2 linked regions of the Stegostoma tigrinum genome follow. The protein of the gene in region 1 purifies or fractionates together with the protein of each later gene. This does not show direct contact. Links are inferred from orthologs where the notes say so. Each region holds a gene or a part of one and is shown on either strand. Other genes may lie near its edges.

Evidence for each region.
Region 2: the proteins of vamp4 (region 1) and vti1a purify together in Homo sapiens (affinity purification with mass spectrometry; 4 studies listed by BioGRID and IntAct, counting the BioPlex papers as one, with this or other methods). This does not show direct contact. The link is inferred for Stegostoma tigrinum from reciprocal best matches to the Homo sapiens genes VAMP4 and VTI1A.

Annotation. Positions count from the first base shown.
Region 1 is NC_081361.1:32,181,202-32,190,383, reverse strand, and holds the start of vamp4 (vesicle-associated membrane protein 4), read right to left. Parts: upstream 3,693-9,182; 5' UTR 3,393-3,692; intron 1-3,392. UniProt on the Homo sapiens protein: Involved in the pathway that functions to remove an inhibitor (probably synaptotagmin-4) of calcium-triggered exocytosis during the maturation of secretory granules.
Region 2 is NC_081373.1:25,209,144-25,218,343, forward strand, and holds the start of vti1a (vesicle transport through interaction with t-SNAREs homolog 1A), read right to left. Parts: upstream 4,179-9,200; 5' UTR 3,854-4,178; coding exon 3,760-3,853; intron 1-3,759. Other genes in the region: palmitoyltransferase ZDHHC6, read left to right, coding at 5,018-5,314, 9,179-9,200. UniProt on the Homo sapiens protein: V-SNARE that mediates vesicle transport pathways through interactions with t-SNAREs on the target membrane. These interactions are proposed to mediate aspects of the specificity of vesicle trafficking and to promote fusion of the lipid bilayers.

The sequences.
Region 1 (9,182 bases):
GTCTCCTCCTTTACATCTACCTATTCAATTAATTATCCCCAACTACTCAATTACTGTTATATCAAATCCAGACATTGTCAATTATCAGCAAATTAAGACAAATTCCACTTGCTACTTCATGTTAGAACCTAGAGAGCTGGCATTCAGAGATTTTAATCATTAACCTGACCCATTCAGCCAAAGACATGACTTTCATCCTACCAATCTTGGCTGGTCCTGATCCAAAAGCTCAAGGCCATTTCCTTAAATTGTAACACTATTCAGCACAGATTCCATATTTTTATTATTATTAAACCCTCCTGTAACAATGCCATTAAAACTTACAGAAAAAAATGCTGTCTGAAAATGTAATCTATCACTGAAAAAAAATTAAACAGACCCAGATGGTTAGACTGACGCTGTAAGAAAGATTTTTGACTTTGAATATATGAAACAAGTAGCTGCAATGTGGAAGGTGCTGTGTGAAAGGATGCTGGCTGGCAACAGATTCAACAGTAACTTTTCAAAACAGAAGTGGATATTTACCTGAGGAAAACATTTTGCAAGGGAATGGGGCAAGGGTAGGATGAATTGGATACTTCTTCTAATGAATCAGCAAGAATGCCACATTTTTAAGTCCTAAAATGGAAACAATGTTTCTTTTGCACCGACTGCAGTTACATTATGGATAGCTCATAGTCAAAGCAGCGCCAGACAACTCCTGCAGAAGATCATTCTCACACACTTTCCAAACTTGTGGCTTGTTATTCTGCACATGTAACATTGTTATAAAGCAGAATCTGCTTGAAGTCAAATAAACAGTGCAATTGGCCTGAACATTTACAACATTACGTGCATTGCCATCAACAGCTTTTTAACTTTATAGATTAGAAAACCCAGCTTCAAACCCTGGTCTGAGGTGGGCCAAACAACCTAAATTGCAATAGCACTCTGACAGTTGGTTTCGGTTCCATGGACTTGTGAGGAGAGGTTGCAGATACAGCCTGCCAGAGGACTTACAACTGATTACTATTTGGTCAGTCTTCTCAATAATTGTGTATACATAGAGGTCAGGTAAAACAGGGTCATACTCAGCTAGGTTGTCCTCCACAGAAAACCCACCTGCAAACTTTCACTGACTTGATTGGAAACCATATTCCAATAATTATTAGCATCTCAGGAGAAAAGCTGGCAAAACTAAAAAGTCCTTTTCTCAAAATATCCCATGGCACGCTTTCAAATAGTACATATCCCTCAAACAACATCACTGAAACAGAATATCTGGTCATTATCAAACTGCAGTTTATGGGATCTTCGTATTGCAAATTGCTGCATTTTCTACAATATAACAGTGACTAAACATCATAAACATTTCATTGATTGTAAAGATTCCTTGCACATTCTGATGCAATAAGCAACAACTTGTTTTACATGGCAACTCTCTGCAGCACTTTGAATCGAGTAAAACATTCCAAAGCATTTCACATGGATATTATCTTGCAAAGTTTGTAGTTCAGCCAGATAATGAGGCATAGTGAAAAATGTAAGCAAAGATATAGATTTAAGGAGCCTCTCAAAGGAGGCAAGGTAGAATGTGATAGATTTCAGGGGCAAATTTCAGAGCTCAGCACAGAGGCTACTAAAGGCATAGTTAACAACGGTGAAGCGATTGAAACTGGCCTGAGTTAAAATGAGACCAGAATTGGAGAGAGAGAGATATCTTGGAGGACTGTTAGGCTGAAAGGGATCAAGAAGTAGGCCAGAATGAAGCCATGATGTAATTTGAAAACAAAGATGAGAATTTTAAAATCAAGGTGTCACTGGGAGCCAAAGTCAGCACTGTGTTAAGTATTTGGCACAACTTAGGGTACAAGAGGCAGAGTTTTGGATGTTTTGAGTATGAAGGCTGCACTTGTATTAAATCTAAAATTATGCTTTCCGATTATATCACAGAGGGGCATCATGGGGATTACAAATTAAGGGGGTTAAGATTGATCCTAGCGACACCAGGTTAATAGTGCAGGAGCAGGTATAGAGCTCACCTCAGTATTGGAGAAATGAAGATTCTCTACACTACAGCCAACACTGGTCAAGCATTTACAGTGGGTAGGAAGTTGAAAAGTGACCTTATAGAGGTTTATAAAAGCATAAGGGGGACAGATAAGGTGAGTGGCAGGTGTCTTTTCCTGGTGTCAGGGATTTCAAAGCTAGGAGGCATATTTTTAAGTTGAGAGAAAAAAGATTTTAAAAAGGTATGAGGGCAATTTTTTTTTAAAAAGAGTGGTGTGTGTGGAATGAACTTCCAGACAAAGTGGTGAGTGTGAGTACAGCTACAACATCTAAAGGACATTTAGACAAATACACAAACAAGAAATCATTGCAAGGATATAAGCCAAGTGCAGGCAGGTCAGACTAGTTTAGGATTATGGTCAGCACAGGCTGGTTGGACCTGTGCTTTACGACCGAGGATATACATCATAACATATGTATCCTCGGATCCCAAAATATAAATGACGCCCATGACTTGGATTCCCATTTCTGAAATAGAACATAGAACATAGAACATTACAGCACGGTACAGGCCCTTCGGCCCTCGATGTTGTGCCGACCTGTCATACCGATCTCAAGCCCATCTAACCTACACTATTCCATGTACGTCCATATGCTTATCCAATGACGACTTAAATGTATCTGAAGTTGGCGAATCTACTACTGTTGCAGGCAAAGCGTTCCATTCCCTTACTACTCTCTGAGTAAAGAAACTACCTCTGACATCTCTTCTATATCTTTCACCCCGCAATTTAAAGCTATGCCCCCTCATGTTCGCCGTCACCGTCCTAGGAAAAAGGCTCTCCCAATCCACCCTATCTAACCCTCTGATTATTTTAGTGTAAATGACTGCAGGCCTCAAAACACGTGCATTTGAAATGTCATAAGATTCAAGGCGCTACAGCCAAGTGCTGGAAATTGGGATTAGGTGTAGACAGGTCAGCATAGGCTTGATGGGCCTCTTCTGTGCTATGTGACTTGGAGACATTTGGATCAGTAACATAAACTCAGGGCGTACAAGCCTCGGTGACCAACAGCAGGCATTGGCGGGGGTTGGGGAGGGAGGTGGCCTCTGTAACGGTAGGAGCAGGAACTCTGCGTCCTCAAGGCAGGGGTCAGTTCTCCATTACCCCAGGGATGGTGGGGCTGCAACCAGGGCTGAGGTGGTTCTCTGCATTCCCAGGAATAGTGGGGCTGTAACGGGTGGGGCAAAAGAGGGTGGGAAGCTAAAGAGGGTAGGGCTGTGACCTGGGGTGGGGTAGCTCTCTGTGACCCGGGAATAGGAGACCAAGAGGCGGTGGGGGCACGGTCCGTCCGTCCTCCCACCCACTGACAGATCCTCCGGTCCGGGGCCTCATCCTTACCTTCCACCAGCCGCCTCTAGGGCCTGGTGTCTCTCGCCCACTCCCGGGTTGACTGTGTCAGCTCGGCTTCGCTCTCCCGGGGCCCCGGGCCTTGGCCTGGTCTCTCTCGGGGCCTTAGCCTGGACACTATCTCGCCTTGGGCCTTGGCCTAGACTCACTCAATCACTCTCTCTCTGTATGTTTCTGGGCCTTGGCCCGGACTCGCACTCTCTCCCTCCCCCTCTCTCTGGACCCCGGGAGCTGCAGCAGAGTGCGGCCTCGGACCGACACAAGCCCCGCCCCCCCGTCTCCATGGAAACGGTGTGCTTTGTGGGGGAGGGGTTGGAAGTGAGAGAATCATGTCATGTGGGAGGGATGGTCAACCTGGGGGCAGGACGGATGAGGAGTGACAAGGAGGTAAGTTTTATTTGTGGCTGGGATGTGAGCATCAATGGCAGCCCACAGACTACCCCACCCTCCCGAATTACCCAGAGGGCATTTGAAAGTGAACCTCATTGGTATGGGTCTGGAGTTACAAAGGACATGAGTGAACCAGATGGGGTTTTATGGCAATCGAAATGGCATTAGTATCATTGATTTATTTATTGTCAAGGGTATTTGTTCCATGTACTTGTTACAAATATGGTGAAAAGTGCTGTATAATGTCGCCACTCTTCAGTGCCATCTTAAACAAAAACCAGAAATAAACCAGACAAATGAGTATAAAGGTAGAAAAATGAAGTTAAAGGTTCAACATAGCCATAACCAACGTGGGCATTATTACAAGATAATAAAATGTGAGGCTGGATAAACACAGCAGGCCAAACAGCATCTCAGGAGCACAAAAGCTGACGTTTCGGGCCTAGACCCTTCATCAGACACCAACTTTTAATTCCAAACTTTTTACTAGAGTACACATTTCACCATCTGCCATGGAGGGATCAAACCTGTGCCCCTGGAGCATTAGCCTGGTGTACCAGTATTATTACCACTATGCCACTGTCTCCTCTAGGGTTGGGAATTGGGGGGAGGGAGAATCAGAAGGGAGGAAGTTGGGGACTCAGTGGGGGAATTGAGATACGGTGATTTGGGAGGGTGGGGAATTGCATGAGAGGGAGGTGGGCGGAATTGGGTGAGGGAGTATTCGGGAGGGAAGGGAAAGTTAGGAGAGGGAATAGGAAGATGTTTGGGAATATGACAATTGGGAATGTCAGAGGAAAAGAAGGAGAAATATGCAAGGAGTCAGGAGGGCTAAAAAGCATCATGAAAAGTCATTGGCCAACAGGATTAAGGAAAATTCCAAGTCTTTTTACAGATATATAAAGAACAAGAGGGTAGCCAGGCAGAGGGTTGGCCCACTCAAGGAAAGGGAAGGGATTTTTTGTGTCGATCCAGAGGAAATGGGTGAGGTATTAAATGAGTACTTTGTGTCAGTATTCATCATAGAGAAGAATTTGGTGGGTGATGAGTCCGAGAAAGGGTGTGTAAATAGTTTGGATCAAGTTGAGATCAAAAGGGAGGAGGTATTGGGGGTCTTGCAAAATATTAAGGTAGACAAGTCCCCAGGGCATGATGGGATATGCACCAGAAAACTGAGAGAAGCAAGGTAGGAAATTGATGGGGCCTTGAGGGAAATCTTTGTATCCTCACTGGCTACAGGGGAGTTCCCAGAGGACTGGCGAATAGCCAATGTTGTTCCTTTGTTTAAGAAAGTTGGCAAGGATAATCCAGCTAATTACAGCCATCTCTCAGTGGTAGGGAAATTATTGGAGAGGATTCTTCAAGACTGGATTCACTCCCACCTGGAGATCAATGGGCATATTAGTGAAAGGCAACATGGTTTAGTGAAGTGGAGTTCGTGTCTCACTAACTTGGTTGAAGAAGTGACAAAGATGATCGATGAGGGTAGGGCAGTGGATGTTGTCTACGTGGACTTCAGTAAGGCCTTTGACAAGGTCCCACATGGCAGGCTGATACAGAAGGTAAAGTCACACACGGTCAGAGGTGAGCTTGCAAGATGGATAAAAAAGTGACTCAGTCACTGAAGACAGAGTGTAGCAGTGGAAGGGTGCATTTCTGAATGGAGGGCTGTGACTAGTGGCGTCCATCAGGCACCAGTGTTGGGACATTTGCTGTTTGTAATATACATAAATGATTTGGAAGAGAATGGAACTGGTCTGATTAGTAAGTTTGCTGAAGACACAAAGTTTGGTGGAATTGTGGATAGTGATGAGGACCGTCAAAGGATACAGCAGGATATAGATAAGTTGGTGTCTTGGGCGGAGAGATGGCAGATGGAGTTTAATTCAGAAAAATGTGAGGTAATGCATTTTGGAAGGTCTAATCCAGATGGAAAATACACAGTAAATGGCGGAACCCTTAAAAGTACTGATAGGAAGAGGGATCTGGGTTTACAGATTCACAGGTCACTGAAAGTGGCAACGCAGGTGGAAAAGGTAGTCAACAAAGCATACGTCATGCTTGCCTTCATTGGCCGGAGCATTGAAAAAATTGGCAGGTAATGTTATAGCTTTATAGAACCTTAGTTAAGCCACATTTGGAATATTGTGTTCAGTTCTGGTCGCCACACTACCAGAAGGATGTGGTGACTTTGGAGAGGATACAGGAAAGATTTACCAGGATGATGCCTGGTATGGTGGGCATTAGCTATGAGGAGAGGTTGGAGAAACTTGGGTTGTTCTCACTGGAACGATGGAGGTTGAGGGGCGACCTGATAGAGGTCTGCAAGATTATGAAGGACATAGATAGAGTGGACAGCCGGAAGCTTTTTTTCCAGGGTGGAACAGTCAGTTACCAGGGGCCATGGGTTTAAGGCGTGAGGGGAAAGGTTTAAAGGTGACGTACGAGGCAAGCTTTTTTTAACAGAGTGGGTGGTGGTTGCCTGGAATTCACTGCCAGGAGAGGTAGTGGAAGCAGATACTATAGTGACTTTTAAAGGGCGTCTTGACAAATAAATGAATAGGATGGGAATAGAGGGATACGGTCCCCAGAAGGGTTAGGGGTTTTAGTTGTGATGCAGGCTTGGAGGGCTGAAGGGCTGTTCCTGGCTGTAATTTTCTTTGTCCTTTGTTCTTGTTCTAAATAGAAGGGGGAGTTTGGTGCATTTGGAAGGAGGCTGAGGGAATTAAGTTGGGATGATTGAATGGGAGGGAGGGAAGCTGACGGGATTGTTATCTTTGCTTTCCACATTGTAGCATTTCACTTGGATTTTGTTTACTTGGATACTGCTTTTTCCTCCTTCTGTAGCTTAACAGGGCAGCAACTTGCTGCAAACTTCATAGGCCACTGACCATCTAATATTCTCACCACACCTGTTTCAAGTTGCCTCTGCAAAAAAGGAATTAGTAGAAATGCGAGCTTATGAAAACTATGAACATTTCACTGTTTTTCACTACTAAATGAAACACATTCGTGTGCTTTTTTTTAAAAAAATGAGGTCAATTAATAATGCCAAAACTGACATTTTCACATTATAACTGTTAATTCAACAAGTCAGCATGTATGTTTCAAGCAGCCTGTAAAGTCTTCATACTCTTTCGAAAACTTACAGGGATACTAATTCAACAAACTCATCAGTAAGTTAAATCTTGCAAATAAGACTGCACTGTTTTGTTCAGGTTCATGAAGACTTGTGGAAGCCAGGCTGCTGACATGATATATGATGAGAATGAGAGTGCTGGTCATTGTTCTGTAACCTCATGTGGTTTTGCTCATCAGTGATTTCTATATTGGGCCAAACTACACAGCACCTGGAAGAGATAATGGGAACTGCAGATGCTGGAGAATTCCAAGATAATAAAATGTGAGGCTGGATGAACACAGCAGGCCAAGCAGCATCTCAGGAGCACAAAAGCTGACATTTCGGGCCTAGACCCTTCATCAGAGAGGGGGATGGGGAGAGGGAACTGGAATAAATAGGGAGAGAGGGGAAGCGGACCGAAGATGGAGAGTAAAGAAGATAGGTGGAGAGAGTATAGGTGGGGAGGTAGGGAGGGGATACGTCAGTCCAGGGAAGACGGACAGGTCAAGGAGGTGGGATGAGGTTAGTAGGTAGATGGGGGTGCGGCTTTGGGTGGGAGGAAGGGATGGGTGAGAGGAAGAACCGGTTAGGGAGGCAGAGACAGGTTGGACTGGTTTTGGGATGCAGTGGGTGGGGGGGAAGAGCTGGGCTGGTTGTGTGGTGCAGTGGGGGGGAGGGGACGAACTGGGCTGGTTTAGGGATGCAGTAGGGGAAGGGGAGATTTTGAAACTGGTGAAGTCCACATTGATACCATATGGCTGCAGGGTTCCCAGGCGGAATATGAGTTGCTGTTCCTGCAACCTTCGGGTGGCATCATTGTGGCAGTGCAGGAGGCCCATGATGGACATGTCATCTAGAGAATGGGAGGGGGAGTGGAAATGGTTTGCGACTGGAAAGTGCAGTTGTTTGTTGCGAACTGAGCGGAGGTGTTCTGCAAAGCGGTCCCCAAACCTCCGCTTGGTTTCCCCAATGTAGAGGAAGCCGCACCGGGTACAGTGAATGCAGTATACCACATTGGCAGATGTGCAGGTGAACCTCTGCTTAATGTGGAATGTCATCTTGGGGCCTGGGATCATCTCCACCTATCTGGACTCCATTTTCTCCCCTTTGGTCCAGGAACTCCCCACCTACGTTCGTGACACCACCCACGCCCTCCACCTCCTCCAGGACTTCCAATTCCCTGGCCCCCAACACCTCATATTCACCATGGACGTCCAGTCCCTGTACACCTGCATTCCGCATGGAGATGGCCTCAAGGCCCTCCGCTTCTTCCTGTCCCACAGGCCCGACCAGTCCCCCTCCACCGACACTCTCATCCGCCTATCTGAACTCGTCCTCACACTCAACAACTTCTCTTTTGACTCCTCCCACTTCCTACTGACTAAGGGGGTGGCCATGGGCCCCAGCTATGCCTGCCTCTTTGTAGGTTACGTGGAACAGTCCCTCTTCTGCACCTACACAGGCCCCAAACCCCACCTCTTCCTCCGGTACATTGATGACTGTATCGGCGCCGCCTCTTGCTCCCCAGAGGAGCTCGAACAGTTCATCCACTTCACCAACACCTTCCACCCCAACCTTCAGTTCACCTGGGCCATCTCCAGCACATCCCTCACCTTCCTGGACCTCTCAGTCTCCATCTCAGGCAACCAGCTTGTAATTGATGTCCATTTCAAGCCCACCGACTCCCACAGCTACCTAGAATACACCTCCTCCCACCCACCCTCCTGCAAAAATTCCATCCCCTATTCCCAATTCCTCCGCCTCCGCCGCATCTGCTCCCACGTTAAGACATTCCACTCCCGCACATCCCAGATGTCCAAGTTCTTTAAGGACCGCAACTTACCCCCCACAGTGATCGAGAACGCCCTTGACCGCGTCTCCCGTATTTCCCGCAACACATCCCTCACACCCCGCCCCCGCCCCTGCCACAACCGCCCTAAGAGGATCCCCCTCGTTCTCACACACCACCCTACCAACCTCCGGATACAACGCATCATCCTCCGACACTTCCGCCATTTACAATCCGACCCCACCACCCAAGACATTTTTCCATCCCCACCCCTGTCTGCTTTCCGGAGAGACCACTCTCTCCGTGACTCCCTTGTTCGCTCCACACTGCCCTCCAACCCCACCACACCCGGCACCTTCCCCTGCAACCGCAGGAAATGCTACACTTGTCCCCACACCTCCTCCCTCACCCCTATCCCAGGCCCCAAGATGACATTCCACATTAAGCAGAGGTTCACCTGCACATCTGACAATGTGGTATA
Region 2 (9,200 bases), on another chromosome or scaffold:
AATGGAAAGAGAAGACAAAAGTGAGTCTTGTCATTTCTAGGAATAGAGAAAATAGCCAAGTCTTCTCCTTCTAAAGAGCTTTCTGCTGTTCCAAGCTACCTGTTAAAGACAAAATAGAAGATTTACAAGGATGCTTCCAGAATTCAAGGGTTGGAACTAAGGGAGAGGCTGAATCGATTAGGGCTATTTCCCTAGGGCATTGGAGGCTGAGGGGTGACCCTATTGAGGTTTATAAAAATCACAGAAGCACAGATAAGGTAAATAGGCAAGGTCTTTCCTGAGGTGGAGGAGTCCAAAATTAGAGGGCATGGGCTTAAGGTGAGAGGGGAAAGATTTCATAGAATCCCTAGTGTGGAAACGGGCCCTTCGGCCCAACAAGTCCACACCGAACCTCAGAGCATCCCAGCCAGACTCATCCCCCTATAGCCCACCTAAGCTACACATCCCTATGGGCAGTTTAGCATGGCCAATTCACCTAAACTGCACATGTTTGGATTTAAAAGGGATCTAAGGGGCAACTTTTTCACAGAGAGGGTGGTGCGTGTGAGGAATCAGCTTCCAAAGGAAGTGGTGGGCACTGGTACAACATTTAAAAGGCATCTGGATGAGTATATAAATAATAAGGCTTTAGAGGGATATGAGCCAAATGCTGGCAAATGGGGCTAGATTTATTTAGGATATCTGGTTAGCATGGACAAGTGGACTGAAGAGTCTGTTTCTGTGCTGTATATCCCTATGACCATATGACTCTAAATGCATTAGATATGATGGGTAAAGGGATCTCACTGCTAAATAATAACTGAACAGTAAATGTAAAATTCTTAAATTTTGCTTCACGCTATGGTCAAAATAAAGGAGTTTCTTTGCCGCATTCAGGACTATAAAAATATGCAAAGTGAATGGGTCATAAGGGTTCGTAAACTGGATTAATAAGTTTGCAGATGACACTAAAGTCGGTGGACTGGTGGACAGTGTGAAAGAATGTTGCAGATTGCAGGCTGACTTGGATAACCTGCAGAATTGGGCTGAAAGGTGGCAAATGGAGTTCAATGCAAATAAATGTGAGGTGATTCACTTTGGGAAGAATAATAGGAAGGCAGAATACCGAGTCAATGGAAAGATTCTTGGTAGTGTGGATGTGCAGAGGGATCTTGGTGTCCATATACATAGGTCTCTGAAAGCTGCCACCCAGGTTGATAGTGCTGCTAAGAAGGCATACGGTGTGTTAGTTTTTATTGGAAGAGGGATTGAGTTCCGGAGCCGTGATGTCATGCTGTAACTGTACAAAACGCTAGTGCGGCCTCACTTGGAATATTGCGTACAGTTCTGGTCGCTCCATTACAGGAAGGATGTGGAAGCATTGGAAAAGGTGCAGAGGAGATTTACCAGGATGTTGCCTGGTCTGGACCGAAGGCCTTATGAAGAAAGGCTGAGGGCCTTGGGTCTGTTCTCATTGGAGAGAAGGAGGCTAAGAGGGGATTTAATAGAGACAATCAAGATGATCAGAGGATTAGATAGAGTGGACAGTGAGTCTTTTTCCTTGGATGATGACGTTGGCTTGTATGAGGGGGCATAGCAGCAAATTGAGGGGTGATAGATTTAAGACAGATGTCAGAGGCAGGTTCTTTACTCAGAGAGTGGTATGGGTGTGGAACGCCCTGCCTGCCAATGTAGTTAACTCAGCCACACTAGGGGCATTTAAACAGTCTTGGATAAGGATATGGATGATGATGGGATAGTGTAGGGGGATGGGCTTAGATTAGTTCACAGGTTGGTGCAACATCAAGGGCCAAAGGGCCTGTTCTGCGCTATCAGGTTTACCTCACCAAATCAAACTTCTCAATCTCCTGGGAAAGGCATGTTAAGGTCTCACGTTAAATTAGCAACACTCCAGAACATGAACGCAACTTTGGGAATCTTTAATAAGTTAAATTCAGCAATGTGTTATAGACACAGCAGAACCTGTTGTTTACCTGATCACGTGTCTCGACTTAATTAAGTAGATATTTATTAAATATGTTTAAAGGAAGTGAACAAGATAATGTTAACTTATTTCCAGGAAAACTACTCTGCTTCATTTTCACTAAACTCTGGGGGAAAATGCTGATATTCTAATGTTTAAGATAATTAAATATCTAAAATAGACTCAAGATAGCGGCATCGGCAGAGTAGGTAGGTGGTCGGGCTCCTCAGTCAGTCTCCAGACTGGCGGCATGCTTCTCTCCCCCTCTCCTTTTCATTTCTTTTTCCTTTTTCTTTTTCCCCTTCATCTTTGAGGTCAGAGTGGTGTTAATAGGAGGGGTAGCTGCAGCATGGATTGAGATTTTTGGCAGCAACAGCAGTGTCCAGAGCAGAGACACCTGATGACGAAAGGCCCAGAGCAAGGACCCCTAGCTGCGGTAATCCCAGAGCCTGGACTCTTAGCTGTGTCCGGAGCAGGGACTCTTTGCTGTGTCAACGAGGTGATGGCAGCAGTGGAGCTAAGGTCTCCTGGAGCACTGGCATTGCTGTATCCAGAGCAGGGTCTCATGGGGCTCAGAACATCTTGCAGAAACCATGGTGCCATGCTTGAGACCCAATTTGAACAGAAGATGAACTCTATTTCAGTAATTTCTTTTTATTCTTTTTGCAGCTCAAAATATCACCAAGTTGTGACAATGAAACACTTTCCCCTATATCTTCCCAGATGTGATAATAAAATCATTCATTCGTATTTGCCTTTGCTTGAAACTAATTAAATAAAAAGTATAAATACATATTATCCTGTCATACACACCTCAAAACGTTTACTCTCTTCACAGATACTACATGACTTGCTGAGTACTTTCTACATTTTGTTTACACTTCAGCGTTCTAACATCTGTAATCAGATTAGACATGCATTTCAATTAAAGTAAACAAATACATCACATCCATGCTTAACTATCTCTTCCCAAGTAAAACCAAATTCAGTTTAGATATTTTCTTCTGAAGAAAATAATTGATCCTTAATTTCAACAGGGGATGGGGCCTTTATCATAGAAGTCACTTACCCACATGCCTACCCTGAAATGTCACCGCCCTCTCCCAACCCTCATCCATGTCCTGATACTAATATGTCGTTCTGAGCAAGCAATTAGGACACCCACAGGGAGAAAGCCCAAGCCTCCTTTTAAAAATGCAGATCTGTAATTTCAACCAAAGATCCAAAGAGACATTAGATTTGCAACAACAAATGTTCTGCCTCCACAGATGTTCCTGGACCTGTTGAATTTCTTCAACACTTTCTGCTTTTGTTTCAGATTCTAAAAAAATGTCCTCAGAAACGACAGGTTAAGGAGTGGGGTAAAATAAACCAGATTAACATTTCTGACTGTTAGCCTGCATTTTCTACTCAAAAGTAGCCATGTACGAATGCTGAGCGAGTAGAAGTTTCGGTCTTACTGTGATGTTCTGTCTAGATGATAGGGTGCGTGTCAACACACTCTGACTGTGTAAATACAACCCACTTCAATGCAGTTCGTTCAACTCTAATTGCTTATGAATAATTAACACCGTTGCTCTCAAATCAACCTTGCCTTCCGATCGCTCAACACCTACTTCTGTTTCTACATAAAAAGGCTTCGAACTGTAAAATTCGTTTCTTTTTAATATCGCATTTAAGACATCATCAGAATGCGAAACCAATCCCTGGACGACGAGGTTCAGTCATCCTTCAGCTCTGTCTCCTCAACACCGATCAAACACGAAAAGTGTTTTCCAGCAGAACAGCCTCCCTACCTCCTGACAGTTTCGGTATCCTCCCCACTTTATTGGTGATCTCTGCTGTCAAGGTGCCGAAATCCTGCTCGTAAACCTCGAAATCCGAGGACATTTTCTGTGAGACTGACAGCGGTCGAAGAGTTTAAAGTAGGAGCAGCGGCCGCTTCCTCTACTCGCTCGCTGTGCCGCCCGGAAAGTCCTTCCCCCACCAACTGCCCAGCATTTGGTAGAGAGAGAGAGAGACAGATCGGAAAGTCTGCTGTCTTTAAACACTTATAGATGGAAAGGGGCTGAAGAAGTTTCGACCGGAGTGGTCGCGAGTGAAAATCAAGAGAAAGTCTTCTCCCCGATAAGTTTTGTTTTATTATTTATAAAAATGTGAGCCATGGCGGGGGAGGCGGTTGTGGGTGGCACCGGCGGAAGTGGCGGGTTTACGGTGACGGTTGGTGGCTGAAGGGAAAGAAGAAATAAAACTTTTAAACTATTCCGCACCCCCCCCCCTCCCCCGAGAGGGAAATTAGCTCCAGGATTGGAATTAACACGCTGCCGTCATATTTTAAATCGGTGACTTCCACTTGCGGGTATCCGGCCTGTCACCGGCCCAGTCCGCCCTCCCTTCCTCCATCTCGGGTTGATAGGGATACCGGCCAGGGCTTCGCACCTTGAACACCCGCCCGGTTAACCCCCTCTGTCTGATCATGTTTAATCTCCAGGAACCGCCCTCCTCCTGGAGTTATCAAAGACACAATATGCTTCCGGGGCACGAATGCAGCCAGACGGAAGGAGGAAGCTGTGTGGCGGTTTTGGGGACATGGATGGCAGTCGAGCTAACGTTTGGCTGCTCCCGTTTCTCTGACTCTCTGACATCCAGGCCTCTGGTTACTCCTCAGGCCAGCTCCAGCCGCAAGCAGCCAGAATCTGTGTTTTCTTCTCTATCCCCGTAAGTAATTGACTGAATCAAGGTCTTGATTATAAGGGTGGAGTTGTGTTTTTTTTACTTCAGCTCTAAACATACTTCACTCTTTTTATATCCCACTAGGATATCTTTTTGAGGACACCGCATGAGAAGCTTCAAGCTCATACAGAAGCACTGCATCTAAAGTAATATCATGGGGAATTTACTGGAGGTGAAAGTTGCGGTTCACAGAATTTGTTCAAAACTCTCCCTATTTATCAATCAAAAGTGATCCCTGCTTTTTTTCTGGATGCAAGAATTATTCATTGCCTGACTCTTACTTCCATTAAGTGTAACTGTGTGCATTATGATGGTTGCTGCATGTTAACTGAAGAGTATTGCTGTCTTCAATCAAAGACAATGTGTTCATTTATAAAATTTGAAAATTTACATGAATTGAAAAGAATTTGTCACTGGGGTCCAATTATAGCCCTGTCAGTTATTACAATATGTTCCTCCATGGCCATTATAGACTCAGTACTTTGGTATTGGCCTCTTGACACTCCTGGTGGAAGCATAAATTTCATTTTATTGATAAACTGGACAGTTCTTATACTTTACAACTACTTTAATGCAATGTTTGTTGGTCCTGGCTATGTTCCAATTGGATGGAAACCGGTAAGATGATGTTTGCTCTTTCTCCCTAATTTTTTTTTCTTGTCAAATGTTAAATTTACAATGGCTGTAAAGAGCTGAAAGGAGATAACTATTACAAGATTTCTACAACACATGTAACGCTAACTCTTTGGTTGTGTGTCTGATATAATGGTGATTAAATTAGATGAGAGTAGAGATCAGGGTTCTTTGAACATACGTTTTGAGTGGTAAGTCTTTGCTGTTTGATGCTCCTAGCAATCATTACAGCCATTTAACACATGAGTCATCTAAGCTTGCTACTATATTGCAAACTTGCCCATCTTGGTGATAACACATTGATTTTCTGCCTAGTCTGACAATTTTTGACTGAAGAATTAGTAAACTTGTCCTGATTTTTCATATTTAGTTCCCAGTCTGTCAAGTTTTACTGTTTGTGGCCAACTGCTCACTAATCACAACCAATAACTTAGATAGCAGTTTCAAATATTTTTGCAAAGCAAGTTCTCTGCAGTGACAGCCCTGTGAAATGTTCAGTGACATAACCTCCTAATTAATTTGCTGTATCCCAGCTGAGACCAGCAGGTTGCCTCATGTGGCTCAATCCCCCTTGTACTCAGTTCAGTGTCTTGGGGTTTGAACAGAGCTTCCCCAAGGTTGCAAAGGAGACAGGCAACCACAGCAGTATTTCACAATTGGCCAACAAGCTACTCAATATGTTGTGGAGAAACACCAAAAAGGGGAAAGATGAACAATACCAGAAATTGTTGGAAAAATTCAGCAGGCCTGGCAGCATCTGTGGAGAGAAAGCAGAGTTAATGTTTCAGTTTCAGTAAACCTTCTTCAGAACTGATTGAAAGTAGGAAAAATTTGATATTTGTGCTAGAAAGGAGATTGGGTTAGGGGAAAAAGCCTAAAGAATAGGTAGAAATGGAGCCTATATAGAGAGGAAAAACAGTTGGGCAGGCAAAGAAATGTGGGTACAGGTCATCCTGGAAGAATCTGTACCTGCTAATGGGATCCATTAGTGATTGACTTTAGGTTGTGTGGGGTAGGATTCTACATGACAGCCCGGTGTGTGGGGTTGAGGAAAGAAGATGGAATAAGGTGCTAAGACCCTAAACGTTATTGAACAATATATTGTATCCAGAAGGTTGCAGAGTTCCCAAGCAGAAAATGAGGTGGTACTCTTTCAGTTCATGCTGAACTTTGCTCAAGCATTGTAGGAAACCTGAGACAGAAATGTTGGGCTGTGAAGATAGTGTGTCGAAATGGCAGACAATTGGAAGCTCTAAGCCATTTTTGTCGACAGAATGTAGGTATTCTGCAAAGCAGTCATCCATTCTACACTTCCCCTCCCCAGTGTAGAGGAGACCATGTTGTGAGCAGCGAATACAATAGACTAGAATGAGTGAAGTACTGCTTCGCCTGGGAGGTGTGTGGGGATACTGAGGAGGGAGGCAGTAAATGACCAACTGTTACCCCTCCTGCGATTGCAAGCAAAGGTACTGTAGGAGTCGGGGGAGATATTGGGAGCATGGGAGGACTGAACTAAGATGTCTCTGAGGGAACAGTCCCTGCAAAAGGCTGGCAAGGAGATTGAGGGAATTGTGTCTCTGGTGTTGGCATCCTGCTGGAGGTGGCGGAAATGCGGCTGATGATCCTTTGGGATGTAGACATCGGTAGGACAATAGGTGAGGACAAGACGGGGGGGACCCTTGCACTCCAATGGGAGGGAAGATGCACTTGGGGCTGAAGTATAGGAATGGGTTGGACCCTGCTGAGGGCCCTGTCAATCACAGTGCTCGAGAAGTCATTGGTTGAGGAAGAAGATAAATGTATCAAAGGGCTCCTTGTCAAAGTTGGCATCATCAGGAAAGATGTGATGAAGTTGCAGGAAGTGGGGGAATGGAAGAGAGCCGACAAGAAGCAGAGTGAGGGTGTGTAGTTGAGGTTATCATGGGAGTCAGTGGGTTTGTAGTGGATGTTGATGGCCAGCCTGTCCCAAGAAATGAAAACAGATGTCATGGAAAGATGGGCTAGGTGAAGGTGAGAGCAGAGTAGAACTTGGAAGCAAAATTGGTTAGTTTTTCCAATTCTGGATGGCAAAGGAAAGCAGCACTGATATTAATATACTGGAAAAAGAGTTGTAGGTGCATGCCAGTGGAATAGGAACAAGAAATGTGCACATGCAGGTAGAAGTGGCCATCCCTTGGACCTGAGGAAAGTGGAAGGATTGACAGCAGAAGTTGTTCAAAGTGAGGACGAGCTCAGCAGATGGAGGAGGGTTGTGGTGGTAGATGGGGACAATTCAGGCCTTTTCTCCTAGAATGAGTGGTGGAGAGCCCTGAGTCTATCCTGATGGAGGATGGACACATAAAAGGATTGCATATCCATAGTGACAAGGCAGCTGGAGCCCACAAACCGGAAATTCTGAAGCTGACATAAAGCATCAAAAGTAAGATATTTCACTCCCAAAAATAGAGTAATAAACCATTAGCTCCGAGAGTTCCATACTAAGTTCTCTGGGAATAAAAAGAAATTTTGTAAACTTTTTTTATTGTAACACCATCTCTGAAAACGCAGCAGAAGGGGGAACAGATGTACTTGTTTAAATATAATTCACAGGATAAACTCGGAGTAGAAAATCTCTCCCCTCCCCCACTCCAGTGGGACTGTCCGTTCTTTCCACTCTAGCAGTTAGACACACCATTGTTCTGCCATTCTGGCGTTCCTATCGCTTAATTTGAACTATCCATGTCCTTTCTCCTCCCGCACACCAGCAACCTCTGCCCTCCCCCTCCCCAAACAAGGCATTGCATAAATGCTGCCCTTCCATACTTCACTTCAAGTTTGTTGAAGACTCGAAACATTAGCTTGCTGTCTCCACAGTTGCTACCGAACTCACTGTGATCTCCAGCATTTTTTGTTTTCCGTACAGATACCAGCATCTGCAGTAATTTGCTCCAATGTTGTGTGCCACTTTTGTTTTCCTATCTCTGCTTTATTTTTGCATTAATATTTCTGCAATTCATCTATCATGATGTTTTTGTCTTCTCTTACAATCGTAGAATCCCCATAATGTGGAAACAGGCCATTTGGCCCAACAAGTCCACTCCAACACTTTGAAGAGCATCCCACCCAGACCCACTCCCCTACCTTATCCCTGTAACCCTGCATTTCCTGTAGCTAATGCACCTAACATACACACCCCAGGACACTATGAGCAATTTAGCGTGGCCAATCACCTAACTTGGACATCTTTGGACTGTGGACAGGTCCTGGAGCACCTGGAGGAAACCCACACAGACTCAGAGGGAGCGTACAAACTCCACACAAGCAGACAGTCACCCGAGATGGGGATCAAACCCAGGCCCCAGGTGCTGCGAGGCTGCGGTGCTAACTACTGAGCCACCACTTAGAACAAATACAATGCCTAAGGGGCTTGCTGAAACAAATGTGTAAAAGTCTGAACAGATATTAGACCAACTGGTCTATTATTTCTTCGCAAGTGTCTCCTTATCTCATTTGGATCTGAACTTATACCACACTGAGCTACATTGCTTATGTAGGTCGCCTGGTTCCTAATCCACACCATCCTCAATCATCTGTTGCAGTAACTGAAATCTGTTAGTAAATCTACTGAGAATGCTATGTATGTTTGTCCTACTTTGACATGTAACTTTGTTATGTAAGATAACATTTCTGATGATGCAGGCAATTAGTAACACAAAGCAAACAGCACCTTCTCTCGCACTGTCCTCACTCTCTTTCACAGACACAGACACAATAACTGAACCATTCATCCTCTTTGCATGTAATCAGTTTCTATATTCTTATACTGAAATCAACTATGATTGTTGTAATTAGCTACTTGTTCTGTTCAAGGACAACCCTCAGGATACAATGT